Lytechinus pictus: one gene and its partners. The protein of the gene in region 1 purifies or fractionates together with the protein of each later gene. This does not show direct contact. Links are inferred from orthologs where the notes say so. Each region holds a gene or a part of one and is shown in the gene's direction. Other genes may lie near its edges.

The links.
Region 2: the proteins of cdc42 homolog (region 1) and actin nucleation-promoting factor WASL-like purify together in Drosophila melanogaster (affinity purification with western blotting; 3 studies listed by BioGRID). This does not show direct contact. The link is inferred for Lytechinus pictus from reciprocal best matches to the Drosophila melanogaster genes Cdc42 and WASp.
Region 3: the proteins of cdc42 homolog (region 1) and formin-binding protein 1-like purify together in Drosophila melanogaster (affinity purification with western blotting; 4 studies listed by BioGRID). This does not show direct contact. The link is inferred for Lytechinus pictus from reciprocal best matches to the Drosophila melanogaster genes Cdc42 and Cip4.

What each region holds. Positions count from the first base shown.
Region 1 is NC_087258.1:1,884,357-1,891,664, reverse strand, and holds the start of cdc42 homolog, read left to right. Parts: upstream 1-4,254; 5' UTR 4,255-4,363; intron 4,364-7,308. UniProt on the Drosophila melanogaster protein: Regulates mbt kinase activity and is also required to recruit mbt to adherens junctions. Together with mbt and Frl, regulates photoreceptor cell morphogenesis. Together with Frl, has a role in the neuronal development of mushroom bodies.
Region 2 is NC_087247.1:47,756,265-47,763,933, reverse strand, and holds the start of actin nucleation-promoting factor WASL-like, read left to right. Parts: upstream 1-4,321; coding exon 4,322-4,411; intron 4,412-7,669.
Region 3 is NC_087259.1:13,024,042-13,031,512, reverse strand, and holds the start of formin-binding protein 1-like, read left to right. Parts: upstream 1-4,394; coding exon 4,395-4,520; intron 4,521-7,471.

The sequences.
Region 1 (7,308 bases):
TAGCTATATGAAGCTGCTTGCTATTGTTGACCTCCTACCATCTAATATCCCAGAACCCCAGGATGATAAAACCCACTTTTTGGCTGAAAAAAGGCTACAAAAATGGGAAAATTTAGGTATAATTACCTTTTAACTCTACAAATAATGGTTTAAAAGTACTTATTATAGGAAAAACAAATTGCCTGCCCCCCAAAACATATGAATAGACACCAAAACCAGAGAAATTGACCACCAAATAAAAAAGTTGTGGCCAAAACTGTGATTTTGGGGGGTTTTGGCGGCCATTTTGGATTTTGGCCCGGCACACTTTTTTCTCGGACCCGAGACAAAAAATATTGTCATTTCATGTTGAGATAAGGTAAAAGGAACACAAAAAAACTGTTCCCACAGTAAAACCAAAAATCACCCATTTATAGCCCACTCCTATAATATTATTCATTCAATCTTCCTCAAATTTTCAACAATATGTTTCTTTGATTTTTCTCTTTGATATGGATTCAGCTGGTTTCAAGGGTTTCATTCTCCTTTAAATACACGCAGCTGCTGCCTCCCTAGCCAGGCGGCTTCTAGAGAGTAAAAATCATTTTCTAACGTAAGGTTACTCTCATACGAAGCCAGGCAGTCCTCCCCATTCATCTGCGTGTACCGTAAGGGCACTAGTATTCAACCCGTTTGGAGAGTTTCCTCAAATATATAGAAATATAGAATTTACCTGAATTTCAGACCCGTCTTATTTCCAAGAGCAAATGCTGGTTATTCTTTTTCCGTTATTTTTTTCTTCAACCAGTTGACTGTGTGCGCGGGCGATCGAATTATAGTCGGCGACGGATTTTGGTACTAGTAAGTAGTATTCAACCCGTCGGCACTAGTATTCAACCTAGCGATGAAAGATGGCCCTGTCTCTCAATCTGCCCTTGTCCCATCCGACTATGGACTAGACCATTTGAGATGAGACCAAACAGGGAATTAATCAAAGCCAGAGATTTACATAGATCTAGATCTAATTTAGCAATCTAAACCCTTTTGAGATTTGCTATCAATCCTCACTAGGTTGAATACTAGTACCATTCAGTGCAAAAGGCCATCGCCGCATAATTCGATCCTCCGCGCATACAGTCGACAGATTGACAAAGAAAATATCGACAACAGATTACTCTGGAAATAACAAAGGTGTGAAATTAAGATAAATTCCCTATTTCTAAATATTTTGGGGAATATGTCAAAATCTTTGAATTATGCCAGGTTGAATACTTGTTTCTTGTTTCTTATTGTACTTCCCCAACGTTACGCGACGCTCGCATCCGTAACGTTGGGGAAGTACAATAAGAAACAAGATGGCGGCGTAAACATCGGGCAAGTCTCTTCCGTCTTTTCACAATATTTTTTCATTTTTTTGATGAATTCTTGTTTTAAAAATAACAACGAGAGCGTAGAAATGTCGGAAATGAAGTTTTATCCCATTTACATGATTTAGAGCTAGATCTTTTAGAAGGAAAGTAGAAATCTCGGGGGCGAAAGTTTCAGGGTTTTTTGCGGTACACGCAGATGAATGGGGAGGGCTGCCTGGCTTCGTATGAGAGTAACCTTACGTTAGTAAATGATTTTTATTCTCTAGAAGCCGCCTGGCTATAGAGTACCGAAGCGATGACGTCAGTTGCCATGGTGTCATGGCGGCCTGGTTCTAAACAAATGAACCCAGAATGAGTGTCATGGCGGCCTGGTTCTAAACAAATGAACCCAGAATGAAAGCGTGCGTTTGTCATAGGAGAAAATGGCTGCTATCGGAATGATCGCTTGCAATCTATTTTTCAGAGGAGCCAAAATGTGTACAGACGATAGTCGGGTGCGATTCTGTTTAGAACCAGCCCGCCATGACACCATGTCAACTGACGTCACACTTCGGTACTCTATAGCCTCCCCAACAAACGGCGGTAGCTGCAGTGCAGGTTATCTAGGGTGTACAGACAGTATTCACTGCAGCGTCAGTGCAAATTATAGGCGGTATTTTTACGGAAATGAAACCGATCGATGGCAAAAACTGTTGGATGATTTACCTGCTAAAATGATTGAGGTATACATCGAGCATACCTCAAAAGAAAGAGAATGACTCGATGAAACTACAGTACCAGTCACAATTCTTTGACCCACTGTTACCTGGTTTTACAATTAGATCAAAGCGACGGGTATCGTAGCTTCGCAATGTCAGCCATTGTTATACTGACTGTAGGCTCAAACATGATATGATAGATGGCGCTGTCCGTATTGAGTCCTAGCGTTAGCTAGCGAGACATGCATTGTTTTTCCCGGGAAACAAAAGAGAACGTGATGAATTGTTTGCGCTGCGCCCTGATTTACTGGAAAGTTATTTTGCCTAAGTTCTGAAAAATAATGCTGTTGTAGGTAGACTATATTGGAAAATATATGTAATCAAAGTGAGTTTTTGTATAGGATTGAGTTTAGATTGAAATCTCATTTCCTCACGTACTAGATTGAATTGAAAAAAAAGAAATCTCCGGATAATAGAGAGATCCGGATAAGGAGAGGCAGGATAAGAGAGGTCGGACTGTGTAGCACTTGTCTTAGTCTTACTCTTTAGAGTCTTAGTCTTACTATTTTTGTCTCACCTGCATAGCAGAGTGAGACTATAGGCGCCGCTTTTCCGACGGCGGCGGCGGCGGCGGCGGCGTCAACACCAAATCTTAACCTGAGGTTAAGTTTTTGAAATGACAGCATAACTTAGAAAGTATATGGACCTAGTTCATGAAACTTGGCCATAAGGTTAATCAAGTATTACTGAACATCCTGCCTGAGTTTCATGTCACATGACCAAGGTCAAAGGTCATTTAGGGTCAATGAACTTAGACCATGTTGGGGGAATCAACATCAAAATCTTAACCTAAGGTTAAGTTTTTGAAATGTCATCATAACTTAGAAAATATATGGACCTAGTTCATGAAACTTATACATAAGGTTAATCAAGTATCACTGAACATCCTGCATGAGTTTCACATCACATGACCAAGGTCAAAGGTCATTTAGGGTCAATGAACTTTGGCCGAATTGGGGGTATCTGTTGAATTACCATCATAACTTTGAAAGTTTATGGAGCTGATTCATGAAACTTGGACATAATAGTAATCAAGTATTACTGAACATCCTGTGCAAGTTTCAGGTCACATGATCAAGGTCAAAGGTCATTTAGGGTCAATGAACTTTGGCCAAATTGGGGTATTTGTTGAATTACAGCCATAAATTTGAAAGTGTGTTGGTCTAGTTCATAAAACTTGGACATAATAGTAATCAAGTATCACTGAACATCCTGTGCGAGTTTTAGGTCACATGATCAAGGTCAAAGGTCATGTAAGGTCAAAGAACTTTGGCCACGTTGGGGGTATTTGTTGAATTGCCATCATATCTCTATAAGTGTATTGGTCTAGTTCATAAAACGTGGAAATAAGAGTAACCAAGTATCACTGAACATCTTGTGCGAGTTATAGTAGTTTTCAAAATCAGCACTGCTGCTATATTGAATCGCGTGATGCAGGTGAGACGGCCAGAGGCATTCCACTTGTTAGTTCTTACTCTCGTCTACGATCTTACTCTTAGGCTTAGCCCACCCTGGCCATGGGTGCTTTACAAGAAAATTGAAGGCACAGCGCATACAAAATTGCAACAATTGCATGGCAATCCCGCGAATTTAAAAAGAGGTTTTATAAAATCAAGTCCTTCTACAAAACTTACCGAACGATGTGAAGTCAATTCCCCAAATCATGCATATCTCTCAAATAGCGTCATTTAATCGCTGATTTCTCTTTTCATTGATAAAATATGGATCCGTCTTTTAATTTCCAAAACTTTTCATCCAATTAGCTAAAGAGGGCGCGCGATTTATCTTCATATCAAAGACACTAGATTGAAAGGACTAGCCACAAAAACTATTTTACACGTAAATCGATGCAAAGCGTTACGCGAAGTCGGCAAAGTGTCCAATCTTTTTATAGTAAAGACTTTGGTGGAAAGTTCGTTGACAAACGAACAGTAGCACTGCTGGCTTCGTTCAAGGCACATAGAATTGTCTATTTTTTTGTTTTATTTGTCATCGCTTTGAATGTTTCAAAAAGTATTATCGTCAGCAAAAATAATCTAAAAAGTATGTTTTTAAGTTATTGCATTTATTGGTGTCTACATTTTATCAAACAATCATGGGAATATCGCATACATGTACAATGAATCTAGAATCTTGACTTTTTCTAGTTATAAAATACAGACGAGCTGAATTAAGGTTGTGAATTGTATTAGCGCCACCAATGACCTTCCTCTCATTTCCGTGGAAGAGACATGCGAAGCCACTTTCCTGGCCGAGGTAAGCGATTTTGCTCTTTTATGTGCTATGATATAAAAATTCTAAATGGAACGCCCATCACCAGAAAAACCCCTGGTGAGTAGCGGAATGAGTTTCGGATAACATTAAATCCATTATGAAGCGGTGTTAACTGACAACTAAAATATCCACGCGTAGACACGTTTGTAGTGCAAGGTTACATGTAGTATAGCATACTAACCTCGAGGGCTGTTATCGTTGAGAAAATTCTCTGTCGATATCATGCTTAAAGTATCTTAACGATATCGACAAAAGAACATAATCAATACGCATTTTTATGCATTATAGCGATGTCACATACTCGCGTTGGCCAAAATTTGTATCTGCCACTGTACCAATAATGCTTTGAAATACGCGTTCATCGGATGTAAATGGCTACATGGCATCTTTAACAATAGCAAAAATACATCCTCACCTTTCACGTTATTGGCATTTTTTTAGGGTTGGATGAAGTTTTATCGATAATTTTGGGGCTTTTTGGACATCGTTCTGAGCAGTCAACATCTTTTGATTATCAGCCATTTTGATATCGTGCTGTACATGTTCAAACATAGAGGGCAGCAACACACAGCTCGGCTGTCCTACGTTAGTTGAGCTTGCGCTTGTGATGTTTTCGATTCGATCGAATAGAGTCGAGTGCAGTCACGATGTTTGGATTCGCTATAATAATAACAAAGTGGGGTGAGATCGTGTTTTGTGGCTAGTATTTTTGTGAGATTTTTGAGTAATTTCTGTTGCTGTTCTGTGCAGTTTGATGAAAAATATGTTTTCCGTTTGAAACGCCACTTTCAAAGGGCCATTTCCGTGAATTCCGTGAAATCGTGGAAAATCACTGTGTCCCTACATAATTGCGGGTATTATTGATCAAGAGAGAAAGGTTATTGATATCGCTAAAAGCCCTACTAACCTCACAATACGTGTGAGTGGTCTTTTAGCCTAACTTTACTCTTTAATAGCAGTTGTCACTTGTTCTGACCGAGTTCTGAATGAACTGCTCAGTTCCCCCTTTTGATAGATGATAAAGGGCATAAGAATGAAAACAAAATATGCAACAATGAATTCTGGACTATACCAACAATCAGCTTACCAATACCAGTACACCTACATGTAGGGACAGTGATTTTCCGTTTTACCGGTACATACATGTAAAACGGAAATTCTGTTGGTTCTTGTACTTTTCATGTAAAAATTCATGGAATTCACCTTTGCAAAATGGAATTCAGGTTTTTGCTGTGTGCATTTTCAGTGACAAAACAGAATTTCCATTTTTAGATCAAGTTGAAACAGAATAACAGATTTTCAGAAATGGAAAAGACCATTTTTTTAAACGGAAAATCACTGTCTCTACATGTATACACCTACGGCCGTTACACGGCAAAACGATGTACATGTATCTGCAAAATGCACATTCTTAGAAAAATCACTTTGAAGTTACAGCTTTTGTCTTCAAAAGAAAATTTCCCAGTGTTGAATTTAGTTAGATAATTTAGATTTATAAGAATGTCATTGAATTCATCTCCCTTAATAGTTTTTATAACATTTAACTTTTGTTTTTCATCAAAATAACTTTTTTTATGTAGATACACCATCATGTAGCCAAGATATTCAACTGTCCACATTAGTCCTACGTTTATGGCAAAATGATATATCTGCAGATACATGTACATCATACAATTCCTACAGCGATATCATGGCAAAAAGGTGTATCTGCACATACATGTACATCGATTAGTTTCTATGGTTGAATCATGGCAAAGTGATGTATTTGCAGATCAAAAATACATCATTTTGTGTTTAAGGTCAAATTCAATTTAGCCATGAAACAAGCCTTTAAAACTTTAAAGATATGACAACTGGTAAAAGGGTGTAATTTGCACATACACACTTTTACCATAAACTAGTATCTGACTTTTGTTGGCACAATTTGTGGAAAAAGATGTACAGTAGGTTGCAGATACATGTACACTGTTTTGCCATAAACTAGTCTCTGAAATTCGTGGCACACAGTTTGTATGTTGTGCAGATACATCTTTTTGCCATCAACTAGTCTATGAAGTTCGTGGTTCACCGATTATGGTAAAAATATATGTTGCAGATACATCCTTTTGCCATATTTCACGAAGCTGGGTGCGCTCACTCATTTGATGGAAGAAAAGTGTAACTAACAGATACATCTTTTTACCAAAGATCATTGCGCTCTTCTGCGGCACTTTTGGAGTGTATCTGTAAGATACATCCTTTTACCATCAAACGAGTAGGCAAATTTGAAAAAAGTACTGCAGATAGCCCAAGCTACAAATGTATCTTGAAAACTAAAATACCTGTAATTATGAGAGTAAGATAAATGAAAAGAGCTCCCTGAAAAACCCCACCAAATGTCAAAACCTGAAAAAGTCAAAATATTCAGATACCGGTACATCGTTTTGCCATGTGACGGCCGCCTAGCCAGGAGGCTCCTAGAGAGTAAAAATCATTTAGAACTACATGTACTAACGTACATGTATGCTTACTCTCCATGGAGGCAGGGAATGCGTTCCCATTCATGTGTGTGTACCGCGAAAAAAACTGAAATTTTTCCCAGAGATTTCTACTTTCCTTCGAAAAGATCTAGCCCTTAATCATGTAAATGGGATACAACTTCAATTTCCGACATTTCTACGATATTGATTTCATTTTTAAACAAGAATTCATTAAAAAAACGAGAAAATTATTATGAAAAGACGGGGAATACTTGCCACCGTGTTTACGTCGCCATCTTGTTTTCTTTGTTCTTCGCCAAGACTACAGCATGCATATCGCCTTTATTTCAGTGCTTTAAAAATGACAACTAGAGGAAATACAATCAAGAAAATTTCGCACTTGCTATCCCAAATATGAAAATTATATACAGTACTTGTGGAAATGGAGAATTCTCCATAGAGACACTC
Region 2 (7,669 bases), on another chromosome or scaffold:
TCAACGTTAAAGTTTACATGCAAGACTCTCTTATGACACCTAACTCCGCAACTGTAAGTTGCTTTTCAACCAAACTTGGATGGTAGATGGACTTGGGGAACCTGCATGTTATGCTGCAGTCGGAATTCACATGATAAGGTCAAATGTCATTTTCAGGTCAACGTTAAAGTTTACATGCAAGACTTTTTTATGACACCTAACTCCGCAACCGTAAGTCACTTTTCAACAAAACTTTTATGATAGATGTACTTAGACGACCTGCATGTTATGCTGCAGTCGGAGGTCACATGGTAAGGTCAAAGGTCATTTTCAGGTCAATGTTAAAGTTTACATGCAAGACTCTCATATGACACCTAACTCCGTAACCGTCAGTCACTTTTCAACCAAACTTGGATGGTAGATAGACTTGGGGGACCTGCATGTTATGCTGCAGTCGGAGGTCACATGGTAAGGTCATTTTCAGGTCAACGTTAAAGTTTACATGCAAGACTCTCTTATGACACCTAACTCCGCAACTGTAAGTTGCTTTTCAACCAAACTTGGATGGTAGATGGACTTGGGGAACCTGCATGTTATGCTGCAGTCGGAATTCACATGATAAGGTCAAATGTCATTTTCAGGTCAACGTTAAAGTTTACATGCAAGACTTTTTTATGACACCTAACTCCGCAACCGTAAGTCACTTTTCAACAAAACTTTTATGATAGATGTACTTAGACGACCTGCATGTTATGCTGCAGTCGGAGGTCACATGGTAAGGTCGAAGGTCATTTTTAGGTCAACAATACAGTTTACGTGCAAGGCTCTTAAGACAAGTGTTATTCCATCCCAGTCATTTCACAATGAAGTTTGATACGATTCTGTTGCGTGCCCTCGCAAATCATGATATTTCTGGTTTTTTTCATAAGTGGGCGAGACACAAAATCGCTTTTGCCTTGTTTTTTTAGATCTAGGCCTGTTTTACCATTGTCAGCCACGGTTGTTGGTGAAGTTCACGGTTGGCGGATTTGCCCTGAAAATTTTCAGGGTAGTCGCCGCCCGCCAACCGTGATGCATGGTAGCGAGAACGTTGCTACCTTCAATATAAATCAGTAGAGGCGCTGGTCAGAAAATTTGGATCGTCCCAGTTCCAGGGACTGTCTCAGTTTTCAAAGATTTTGCCACCCAAGAAATCTAACAAAGTTCATTGACCTGTCAATTGCAGACACCAATCAAGTGCGCTAGTCAATGTGAACATATCAGGTTTCATAACAAGATTATTGGACGACAGCAAGTAATTCAAAATAGACTGGGAATTGAGGTCACTGAATTTTTTTTTTAGCACTCTCAATCCCCGTAATTGCCATCTATGTCCTGCAGGGGTAAGTGCAAAAACTGTCCCCATAATAAACAAGGACAATCTCAATTTATCAAGACATGATTTGTCTTGGTTTGTGAGGATATCCTTGTTTTCTGGGACAATCCCAATTTCTGGACCAGCGCCTCTACTAATAAATAGGCCTTTGTAAATATCTTGCCATAATCGTTTTTTCATCTTTACCATATCAGCTTCCAATCGCACCCATCTTCTCATTTGAAATATTTTGGTCACTTGAAAATGGTATCGTCATGATTGTATTAACCTAGGGTTACACCAAAGCCGAATGAATCTGGACTGATTCTGCCCGAATATTGCCTGATTCAGATGAATTCTCTGTATTCAGAACTTATTAGTCTCTGATCATGCTGATAGCTGATTCGGGAAGTCCCCCCCCCCCCCATTACAGGAATTGCCAAGAATTGACCCGAATCAATTAGCCATCCTGAATAAAGCCAAATGCTACCCGAATAGTGGCAAGAATGGAGCCGAATGTGGCCGGGTTACTCCTATTACAGCTAAATGATGATCTGAATCAGAACGAATTTGGCCAAATCTGCCCAGAATACTCTGAATGTTTCACCTAATCCAACGGAATGTCATCCGAATACGGTACATCCCGAAGGTGGCCCAAATGAAATTTGTTGTGGCCACATTCATTCAGGAATATTTTAGAGGGTATTCGGTTGGTTTTGACCATTTCAAAACGAGACGAATTCTTCCACAAATGTTCTTGAGTCTTTCCCGTATTTTCTCCCATTTGCGGAGGGAGAACAGAATGCTCTCGAATCCACTGGGATACGTATTTTCGGATGGTGAGATCATAATGTAGGCATCCGTCTTAGCTTAAAACCAAAAAGTGAATAAACTATGATGACACTGACCATGAGAGGTTAGTTTGACTGATTTAAAAGTGGTCAATGGGCTTAACTTTTATCAAGGTAGTGATGTGTTTAGATCTCTGAATTATTAAAGTTTTGTGGCTTGTAAATTATTCCTGAGTTTGCAATAGCCATTGAAACATAAAACTGACTTAATACTTGGCATGTTACCTATAGTACGAATATATCAAGTTGGTTTAATCAATGTTATAAGTGTATTTTAAAGGAAATTTGAATAAGTATTTAGACATACATGTAGTGCATGAATCTAGACCTATGACAGCAAAGTCTCACTGCCTAATTATGTCCAAGTTATACTTAGATCTCATTATGCGCCCGTCTCGACGGGACATATTATGGTCATGCTCGGTGTCCGTCCGTCAACTTTTCCTTGTAAACGCGATAACTCCAGTTTAACTTAACCTAGGCTCATGTAGTGTGGTGTGTATAATACTAGCATGAATCCCAGGAAGCCTATGGATTTTGAGGTCAAAAGGTCAAAGGTCAAGGTCATAGTGACATGTTTTCATCTTACCCTTGTGCAGTCCTTGTAAATGCGATAACTTCAGTTTAACTTAACCTTGGCTCATATGATTTGGTGTGTATAATACTAGCATGAATCCCAGGAAGCCTATGGATTTTGAGGTCAAAAGGTCAAAGGTCAAGGTCATAGTGACATGTTTTCATCTTACCCTTGTGCAGTCCTTGTAAATGCGATAACTTCAGTTTAACTTAACCTAGGCTCATATAATTTGATGTGTATAATACTAGCATGAATCCCAGGAAGCCTTTCAATTTTGAGGTCAAAAGGTCAAGGTCACAGTGACATGTTTTCATCTTACCCTTCTGCAGTCCTTGTAAATGCAATAACTTCAGTTTAACTTAACCTAGGCTCATGTAGTTTGGTGTGTATGATATTAGCATAGATCCCAGGAAGCCTATCAATTTTTTGGTCAAAAGGTCAGAGGTCAAGGTCACAGTGACAGGTTTTCACCTTACACTGCTGCAGTCCTTGTAAATGCGATAACTTCAGTTTAACTTTACCTAGGCTCATATAATGTGGTTTGTGGTGTGTATGGTACTATTATGGATCCCAGGAAACCTATTGATTTTGAAGTGCAAAGCCCAAGGTCACAGTGACATGTTTTCATCTTACCCTTCTGCAGTCCTTGTAAATGCGATAACTTCAGTTTAACCATGGACCTATTACGATGGACATTCAACGAATCCCCTCCTTTGGGCCAAAGACCGTCACCGCTAATCCTTTTATAAACAGAGCGCTGGCAGCTGACGCCCATCAAGCCGGTCGTAAAACAAGCTATCACTGATGGACAGCGGAAATCAATTGTACGCTGCTCCTACACATTGCGATGTTGTTCGTTCACTTTATCAAAAGCAACGCACGGCAGCGAACGTTAGCACTATGAAAATGATTGCAGAAACAAGAAAACAGGCGTGCATAAAGGTATTTTTTACGTACATCGCAAACAACCGCACATGAAATGCATTGACATCGTCGTGCAGATCAGTATATCTACTGCAAAAAAGCAGTTGAAATTTGATGGAGAAATGTGCGGAAAAACGTTAAAAATGCATCTTTTTCGGACAGTATTGATGTCGATAGTAGCGCTTACCTTCGGTCAGAAGTTGATTTTCATTTGGGCATAAAATTCCACAGGATTGATGAAATTTAACGGGATTTTTTTTCATGGTCAGACGACAATCGCACATTATAGACAGCCTAAAATAATGTACTAAAAAAACGGAGATGAGTTGCGCATTGCATTTTAGGTAATGTAGGGACTTTCCCTATTGGCAATCGGGCTAAAACATGACCGTCTTTGGTCGAAAGAGGGCCAGTGATCGATCGATGACGATCAATGGCCGAAAGGAGCTTGTGTAAACAATCGCCCCGGGCGGTCGTCGTAAAAACCGCGTAAAGAGAAAGTTAAAGGTTAGACAGCGATTTTGACAGCTGGAAACAGGTGGTGGTCATAAAATGCTATCGTTGAATGTCCATTCGTAATAGGTCCATGGTTTAACTTAACCTAGGCTCATGTAGTTTGGTGTGTATGATATTAGCATGGATCCCAGGAAGCCTATCAATTTTGAGGTCAAAAGGTCAAAGGTCAAGGTCACTGACAGGTTTTCACCTTACCCTGCTGCAGTCCTTGTAAATGCGATAATTTCAGTTTAACTTAACCTAGGCTCATATAATGTGGTGTGTATGATACTATTATGGATCACAAGAAGCCTATTGATTTTGAGGTCAAAAGTTCAAGGTCACAGTGACATGTTTTCATCTTACCCTTCTGAAGTCTTTGTAAACGTGATAACTTTAGTTTAACTTAACCCAGGCTCATCTAATTTGGTGTGTATGATACTAGCATGGATCCCAGGAATTCTATTGACTTTTAGGTCAGACTGTCAAAGGTGAAGTCGCCACCTTCCACTTTTTTTTTTGCTTGGCAAATAACTCCATTTTCCGCTTTACAGGCAGGCGTATTATGTGCTCGCCTTATAGCGACACTTGTAGAATTAGGGTTAGGGTATGAAGATGAAGAATACATACCTTGGCTTTATTTAGTCAGCAAGGTTACTGTGGTGACATCCTGGGGCTAACGTGGGAAGGGTCCCCGCGCCAAGTTGTATTTCTAAAACTGCACAGCTATGGTAGAAATCCACTGCCACTGGGCATAAATGGCCCCCAAAATCCCCCTGGTCTTTCAACTGATTAGATAGCCAATAATCTAGTAATAAGATTTTGACTGTTACAATATCATTGGTAAATTGTTGAAATGCATGTCACCCATGGCCATATCATTGGAAAATCAAAAGCCCAATATGAATTTGGCAAAGTACTAAAAGTCACAAGTATTCACAAGGCTTAGCCTAGATACAATCTAGCTGTCACATGGCTATATTCCATTAGCTTGGTACACCACACAGTCAAACAGCTTGGGTGAGAACAACTGGCACTATACTACATATACATGTAGCATACTCACAAGTCTCATGCAACAGTCATTAGGTGTGTACAAATCTGTGTCATGTGGCTTTATTCTGTTAGCGTGGTATTCTGCACAAATATTACAACAGAAGATATACTCGCTGTAAGACGAGAACTACTAGAAAATTCACAATGCCATCTAGTGACAAAAACATTGTCGTAGCTCCCTATATAATGCCCAAGCCATTAACACCTTCTTGCTGGTACATCGTGAAGGCGGAGGACATGTATGCTCAAGGTTCCTTGATTAAGTCAACATCACAACCTTCAGTTTTGTTTCTAATTAAAACTTGTTGTATTTATGTGCATTAAAACAATTCACAAACTTCTCTCCTGACAGGTATACAACAGAGGAGCAAGAGAGTAATAGACAGAGTTATATGGGAAGAGAGATAGAGAAAGAGTGAGAATGCAACAAACACCAAACCAAAACAAAAATCATAAAATGATTTTTTTTCCATTTTCTTTTATAATAACCCCCCCCCCAAAAAAAAAATATATATATTTATTTATATATATGATAATAAATAGATATAACCATGCCCCATTTTTTACTCTATACCCTTCAAAAACTGCCCTCTTTCAGAATGTTGGTTTTCAATTCAAATTCAAATAAACATTTATTTTCTTCCGTTTCACAAATTTCTACATTTTTCGTAAACATAAATTGATACAAAAATCAGTTTGTCATGTAGAATATGAATATGTACATGTTTGGTATATAGAAGATGGCATATACCCTACATGTAAATGCAAAGGCCTGTGGCGGGATATGCCTATAGATATAAATACAATACACAATACAATTGATAATACTAGGTCAGTTGATATTGATGAAATGTGGGTGGCTGTTGCAAAAGGAACTCTTTCTTTAAAAATTAATTCTACATTTTATAAAACGAAAGTTAGCACTTATGGCATGGGCATGATATTATCATGATTATTCATGAATCCACTTCATATTTTGTCTTAATTTTGTTGTTAACATTCCATTGTGTACATGGTTCTTCTCTGCAGTACCTCATTTCATTAATTAAAAGCTACACCCCTTCTAGATCCTTGTGTTCCACCACTTCAAGTTCACTTGTTACCCCCAAATTTTCCAAATCTGGGGGGGGGGGGTCATTTATCCTCTTATCCTCTAAGTTATGGAACGATCTTTCTGAGATTATTAAAAAAGATTTAACTTCTGAAACTTAAACAAAAAACCTAAAAACATTTCTTTTCAATTCTCCTTAATTTCATAATTCATGATTTATAAATATTGTCTTGAGCACTCTGCAGAATGGCTTTGACGCTATATTAGTCCAACATTATTGTTGATGCTGGAGCTGCATTTTGTACGTAAAGCAATGTACACAATATCAGTCTGATTAAAAACAATGATCTAATTGACATAAAAACAAAAGAAAACAAAGTTTTGGGAAAGCATGAGAACAATTATTATGGGCATCTTTTAAGTATGCCTACCTCTTATGTTGTTTACAGAGTAATAAGAATATTGTAAGAAAGGGTCCAGTATTCCTCTTTTTATGCGCCAACATTCCTGTGCGACTTTCAGCAAAACATAAAGGCACGAATTCACAAAGTTGATTTTCGAAACCATCGGTTGAACCCATGGTTTATGCAGATTTCATGTATAAATTACGCTTATTTACCGCATACTAAAAAATGTCCAATGCTGATACGTGCTTTTGTCACAGTACGCCAAATAGACGCCTCTTGCCTTGGTTATCCACGCTATTTTATTAATGAGTCCACTGTTTTGAATTAATGAGTCCACTCTTCAAACAGTGGACTCATTGATAAAATAGCATACTTAACCATGGCAACAGGCGTCAATTTGGCGCACTGTGACAAAAGCGTGCATCAGCACTGGAATCTTTAATATAACATGTTAAATAAGCGTAATTTATACATGAAATCTGCATAAACCATGGGTTCAACCAATGGTTTTAAAAAGAACTTTTGTGAATTTGGGCCAAAGATTTCTGCTCATTATTCCATGATTTTACATTACAGCATGCACCAATTATAATAAAATTTTCTCAATCACTGTAATGCCACAATTCCATCTCTTGACCAAACCTTATCTTTTTTTTCTAAATGTATAATGATAACATTATCATGAAACAACAGGTGCAGATAATGCAAATTTGAATCGGGTTTGCTAAATCTTTAGTTTACATGATATGTGTGTTAAAGTTAGGTGAAATAGTGAATGGAAAGTTCAAATTTAAGTATCATAAGATTTGACTGATCTTTTCAACGAGACAGTTTGCATAAGCATAATCGTAGGTTAGATTTATAAGCAGATGGAGTGATCATAACTTTTTATTTTTAGCATTTATTTCCTGTTATTGCACAATTAAAGCCTACTTATTAAGAATGTCCTATGCTTTTAAACCACAGTCTGAATGT
Region 3 (7,471 bases), on another chromosome or scaffold:
AGGTTCCACAGAACTGTTTGCTGCTGATATTGTTTACACAAATGTGCATTGTCAGATCTACATTTTAGTACTGTGTACATGCAAGTAAAAAGTTTGGAAAATGGAAAAGCTTGTGATTGTTCATTGATATTACATGAAATAGACCTAATTCACATATCAATATTTGATATTTTGTATCTTTATGGGAGCCTAATTGTGTAATGACTAATTCCTAATCTTTATACCAGAATAAAAGGTCAGTAACTTTATACATGTAGACAGAGATGTACATGAAAGAGGAAGTACAAATCAAAATATACTTCTAAATGGGATGCATTTATAAGGCCATATTATACTTTGCCAATTAATTGGCATTTTCCTGTGTCTCAAAGTGCCTCAATTTCTTCCCCCACCAGACGAAGGTTGACTCATCTTTATTGATATTACACGTCTGTCTAACAACATACTCCTATTAATGTAATCTTGCAGAATTAGGGCTAATAGTCCACATTACTTTCATCAAAGTCATTTGTAAGTGCTTTCTTTGTGAAGGATCCAAGTGATACAGTTGTGTATCATATTTGTTTCAAATTCTCATCACAACTCTTAATTTCTGGATTTTAATTAACACTTTTTTTAAACCCAAGAAACACAATTCAGAAGTTGATTTGATCAAGTATAATACATTTTGCAGATTCATAAAAGAAATAAATTGATCTCAATTATAATTCTATTAATATTCTATGGAACTTCCTCTAGTTTGGATAGCAGTGGGTAGGCTTGAAAAAAAAAGAAAAAACAGCGTTGATGACAAATTGATTGAATGTTGTGCCAAAAGATCTTGGCTTCTCAAAAGGAAAATCACGGAAAACGTATTTTTTCCTCAAAATGCACAGAACAGCAACAGAAATTACTCCCAAATCTAAAAAAAAAATACAAATATTTACTAGCCACAAAAACACGATCTCACTTCGCTATAATCGTGTTTATCCAAATATCGTGATCGCACTCGACTCCATTCGATCGTATATCGAAAGCATTCACAAGCGCAAGCTCAATTTTAGCAAAGTACCAACGAAGGCAGCACACGGCTGTGTGTTGCCCTCTACGTTCGAAGATGTACAACACTTTTAAAAATGGCGGATAGGCGAAAGACCTTGACTGTTCAGAACGATGTCCAAAAAGCCCAAAAATTATCAATAAAACTTCATCCAACCCTAAAATAATACTAAAAACGTGGAAGGTGAGGATGTATTTAAATGCTAAATATGTTTCTTAAAAGATGTTATGTACCGGTAATCGTTTACATCCGATGAACGCGGATTATAAAGCTTTCTTGGTACAGTGGCAGATACAAATTTTGCCCAACGCGAGTATTGTGTCATCATTATAATACATAAAAACAAAGAGTGCGTATTGATTATGTTCTTTTGTCGATAGTTATCGATATCAGTAAGATATTTTTTTAAGCAATATATCGACAGATAACTTTTTTAACGATTAACAGCCCTAGTCAGCATGGATTGGTTAATTGTTAAAGTTCTTATTTTTAGTGTTCATTGGACTCACTTCATTGAAAGAATAACTACCCTGTCTGCATCAAGTTTTGCCTACTCATTCTAGGATAATCCCTATGTATGTTTAAGAAATTCATAGGATCAATTACATGCCTCAAAGAGTGTTGAAATTGAATAGGAAATGTTCAGTTTTACAAGCTAAGTTGCAAACTTTTATCTGTATGTTTACTTCAAAATTTTTTGAAATTTTTTCCATTGCTTACTCATATTGGCCATCTTATTGAAAAAATGTATTGAATGTTCACTTCGAAGTAACAGTGTATTGTAGAGCATTTTCCGTAGTTCACACTCTTGATGAAATCTGTACCCAATTTTCATATCATATTTTATTTTTCATTTTTGTCTAAATGTTCCTTTCCTTTTATATGTTGTGGAAAAGCTTTTGTTCTGGCTGCAGTCCATAATGAATTACTGTAATAAGCCACAACCAAATCCTGTTTCAAAACAAATACGCTGTGAGCTTGTGACTTGCAGTTTCATTGTTTTCCAGATAATTAAAGTGTATGTTGGATGATTTTGACCCCTAGTAGATCAAGTGGAAAATTTGCATGTTAAAGATAAATACCAGTTGTGGTAACAATCTCAAAATGAGTTCGAACAGAATCCAATAAAATTTGCACGTTAATACAGTTGAATTACATCGAGGTTGTACAGTATTTACACTAGAAGCAAAAATCTGTGATTTCTAAATTTTGGTATTTCATTGGAAGTTGGTATGCCTTTGTTTTCCAAAACAGTAAAAAACAATTGCTGATGTGGTTTACGGTACACCATGTGGAGTATTATAGAAACAGTGGATAGAAGAAGAAAAATAAATGGATAGGTGAGAAGTAGAAATGTGAGAGCAGAATAATCTTTCTTGAATGTAGTCCTGAAAAGGACTGTAAACCAGAAGAGATTGATGAGTTGAAACAGCTTGAGTAGTAGGATGGATGAGGAGATGCTGGCTTGAGTCGGCGAGTAGAAATGAAGAGCAGAAGCAGTAGAGAGACTCGACGTTTCGGGCAGGTTGACTGTCCGTCTTCAGGAGTAAGTGTTCGCTCGGCGTGAGGCGGTTATATGGAGTATGTGCGGACGTAAAAAACAAACAAAAAATAATAAAAATATCATTTTGCACAAGGTAATAGCACATATTAAACATGATACATTTAAGTTCTGTTTGCTGTTCTGCACGAAGCTATGACCAGTAATTATTACTAAACACAATTATTGCCAAAAATTGTCCTTAACGCAATGCCAACTGTTGTTGACTTTTTTCAGAAGCATCCAATTGATTTGAAACAAATTATATTAAATGATTGATTACCCTTAGCCATCCTACCAGCAGAAATTTAAAAAGTGTTGGGTTATGTATGAAAGTGAAATATATACCTTTCAACATGAGTACTACACCCAGGAAAGCATAATTCAGAGAAATGTCATAACATTTTTTCTCCAATCAGTAGTTATATTCAGTGTTATTATCTAATGTTGACAGGTCCACGTGAAGGCTTTAATACATACATGTATGTACAATTTTCTTGTACATTATTTACTGTATTGATGAGCTGAAAGTATTTATCACCTGTTTATACCTAAAAATGTCCTTCGACTATATTTGAAAGTGTTCAGTAGATTTAGACAAGAAATACTGTAAAAGAAAGACTTCCTGTTACTGCTTGACATAAATATATCTGATTAATTGGATTGCTATGTTCTTGTTAAAGTAAACAAAACGATAAAGTGGCCTAGAAGTTATTTTAAGCTTGTCTGCTTTTAATCGCAATCCAGCAGATATCTGTTGATGGCAGGGCTCCATAAGCCTGTAATGACAAGATGGCCTATTACATCATCAGTGCTATGAAACACGAAGCATCTGTGATATCGTGGTGCCCCAGATCTCAGCCCACGTTGGGAGGCGCACCCTCGGCTCTGCTGCCAGGGTTCGATTCCGCTCCCTTTATGGAAAGAAAAAAGGATAATTAATCCAGACGATGACTGTATATTTCCTAATCCAATCAGAGAAATGCGAGAGGCAAAGGCTGGATTTCGTCCCCTTTTTTTCTCTCTTTACAGTTTCTTCTTTTGCCAAGTAAACAGTGGAGGTCTGTTCATTCCCTCTGTGTTGCTCGATTGTTTCTCTTCTCTGGAATGGCTGAGAAGGCCGAAGGGATTCACAGCCGCAGACATTCATGTTCTCTGATTGTCTTTTAAGTGGAGCCGATGGGAATTAAGAGTGGGAGATTTGGTTTATCTTGTTTTAAACTTGCAGTGCATGACAAGGATAGAAGGCTTCCGCTGCATTTGGGGGGCTTTGGTTTCAGAGCCGTTATTCGCGAAGACTGAGAAATACGTGACAGCCAAACTTGTTCTGTGACAGCAGTTTTTAAACTACACTTCTTTTAAAAGGATAGTCAATTCTGTGCTACCACTTCAACAAATATTCCAGTTTGCAACAAAATATTTGTCCTTGCAATTGCAATCTTGGGATTCAGGGGATTGTTAGTGTTGACCTGACCAAAATCATTCCCTGCAATTATTGTACAACGTTCTCAAGGAACTTGGATGTAAGCAGTTTGCAGTCTGAACTCTAAAACAATTTCCTTGGCCATAGCTTAGCCCCTTCAGTCAGTCTCAATATTCTTGTGAGTAATATATATCTTTCAACAGTGTGTGTGGCAAGAGAGGTATAGGACCTTGATCGATTGGTCAAGGTTGTCATACTGAGGACATCAATTTCCATAGGGTGACTCTTCAAGTTCCTAAACCTAAGAGCACGTCACGTTCTTCTGAATGCCGGAGCTTACAATTCAACAAAGTTCTTCAAATAAACCGAATAGTCTTTGGCAGCCTGTTATGATGTCTGCCTTTCAGAAACCTCCACATAAGGGACGTGGTAGTGTTCATCGGGACAAGATCAACTCCACTTCAGATCCCTTGGAACCTACTGTCAGCTACAGACAGGCTGTCAATATTCTTCTAGGGGTGAGTGAATCCTTGTAGGTCTACGCAATCATAGGCGGTGTGTGAATGAAGTATTAGCAGTACAAGGTATGGTTGATTGGTTTGAATAAACTGAATGTAAACTTTGTCACCATGTCCTGGCTGGTTTGTTCGGGAAATGGTCTTTGGTTGGTTTGATTTTAAAGCATATAAGCAGCCATAGAAGTGACATCTCGTAGTCCTCCTGCATATTTCATGGAGAGTGATCTTTGGAGATACCACCAAGTAGGTGGTGATGATCTGTGCTGCAGAACACAACATCTCTGCAAAAAAGAGACCAATGTGCTGCCTCAGGACTTGAACTGAGAACCTTGGTATCTAGTCCCGGCAGGAAGTAATTCTTCAAAAAGCTGTGAGCACCGGAATCGGTAGCCAAGCTTAGCCAGGGTAACATAGGAGCACCTTGAGCACTTTACCACGTGGATATGTGCGCTATACAAATACCCTATGTTATTATTATTAGTATCTCTGTTTTACCCATTTAGTAGACTACATGTAGTAGGGTCTGACATACATGTATGTAACCATGCTGTGTGTATTCAATTAATCCTTAAAGGAGGATATTTTCATTTAGGAAGGCATATATATAATCAAAAACTTGGCTGGAACTTCACGAACTTTGGATTGCCTTTTGCTCACCTCTCGGCTGGTTTCCTGTTTATCTCTCTTCTTTTTCAATTTGCAGGGTAGTGTATCCTGTGCCAATTATTCAGTGCTTGCTGTCTTCATTAGGAAAGAAGTATAGATCCAAAATGATTGACATAAAAAAATGGGTCTGATTCTGGGTTTAGGCCTATAGATATCTTGTCATTGCGCTTCTGGGACTTGTCGGATGGACGTCTTATCCAGCAAGTCCTATTTTATCTGACAGTTACCATAGTAATATTGCATCTCAGCCAATCAAAATCAGCAAAAGATGTTAGATCGGACAACTTGTCAGACAAAAATGTTGATGAAACGCTTCCCAGGAGACAGATATCAATTATTTGTTGCTTACCATTTGTCTAATCTAGTGTGTAGCATGCAGACTACACTGCATTAGGCCTGCCTTTGATTGGGAATACGTGTAGCTTATTTCTCTTTCACATGTACATACATGTATATGTAGGTCTTGTTCTTGGACATTGTTGTGGTCAGATATTTGAAACCTGGCTTGACACGAAATTATTGTCACAAAAGAACCTACTCTGTAGTCTGTAAACTTGGCTCTAAAGGTAAAGCACCTTGCTATTGATAGTCTTGGGTTCTATCCCTGACTCAGTAATACCAGACTTTTAAAAATGGGACCCCACTGCCTTCTCACCAGACACTCTAGCATGGAGCTGGTTAGGTCGGCCTACATGTATCTAAGAGGCCGTTGTCATTACGCTTTCTAAAACTAGTTTACTGGAAACCGATTCAGGAAACCAGTTTGGAAGATCGCTTTGCTTGCGTTCCCACTTGATCACACGAAAGTGGTTTTCAAAATCACTTCACGTAAAGCGATCTTGTTGCTATGGAAACGCTCTCAGTGGGGTGACACGTTTTGCGCGAAATTTGAAACCGCAGCGTAGGCATTCTACACCTGTCGTGTGGAGTAGCACGCTCAAAATGTGCGAAGATTGCTTCCCGAAGAACGGTTGTGTCCTCACTTATGCTAAAACCAGTTTAAAACTACATCGCGAGGTGGTTTTCTGAACCGGTTTGGATTTTGGGAGATCGCTTCGATCTTTCTACATGTTAAACTAGTTTCCACTATTAGTTTCCAGTAAACTAGTTTTAGGAAGGTAGTGAGGACGGTGTCTAATGTGCAGTCCACAGTTCTTCATTGTAGATATTTTTCTAAATATGACTAGACATTGAATACGGAAGTTGATGCTATTTTCACTTTAACAATTACAATCTAACCTTTGAAAGCCTCCCCAGCTCAATGCAGTTTGTAGTCTATTTGCAATATATTATAATGGGTTACTCTGATACATGTCAAATTGACTTGACTCATAACCCATGCATTATGAAGTGGCGATTCCATACTCAGAGCCCACACTGTAGGCCTACATGTATAACGCACCATTATTTTCTATTGCGCACCCATGGGGTCACTCTTTCTTATAATATCACAACTATATATGTGAGTTTGATTTGAATTTGTTTAAAAATGCAAACAAATCTCAGTATGTACTTGATAGGTTTGAGCTTCCTTGCAGACATATTATAGAGGGCCTATATTACATCGAGTACTGTGTATAGATATTACCTAAATGTAGACATGTAACCCACTCTAAGGTATGTAAAATTAATTTCTCAAACTCGACCTGCTTTGCCAAAAAGCTTGAATTAACAATGAAACGATGTCGACCCCATGTACATACATTGAACGGTTATATTTCTTTCAAGCCCTATAATACACGTACAGTATGTACATACATTGTACATGTACATGAGTTCTTGGTATGATATTTTGTACAGCATACAACATGGGATAATCGGTGTAACATGAAAGTTCATGTTTAATCTTTAGCCCGACAAAATAAATCATCCCGGAGAAATCCAAGCTTTGGGATTCTGATTCCATCCCCCGGCAATCATTTCCTCTATCCTGCCTTCAGCCTGCAGAATCACCACAAAATCTGCCACTTCCTTGTCTATATGACAGACAAGCAGCAAGAGTTCAAATACTGTATTGACAGAAACCAAAAGAAAGAGGCTGTAAATTATCACTCTCCGCTAATGCCCTATAGATGTGAATAGATCTGAGTAGGTTTATAGATATATCATCATGTCTTGCTGGGTATCATAGCCGTATCAATAGATTATAGATGTTTACATGTAATTCATGTATTAATCCTTTAGTGAGTCTTTAAAGGGAAAGCCTGCTTTGATGGATTTTGTTGGTTTTGATAGAAGAATGATGAGATATTGTGATTAAAGAGATCATTTGCTGTACATTAACG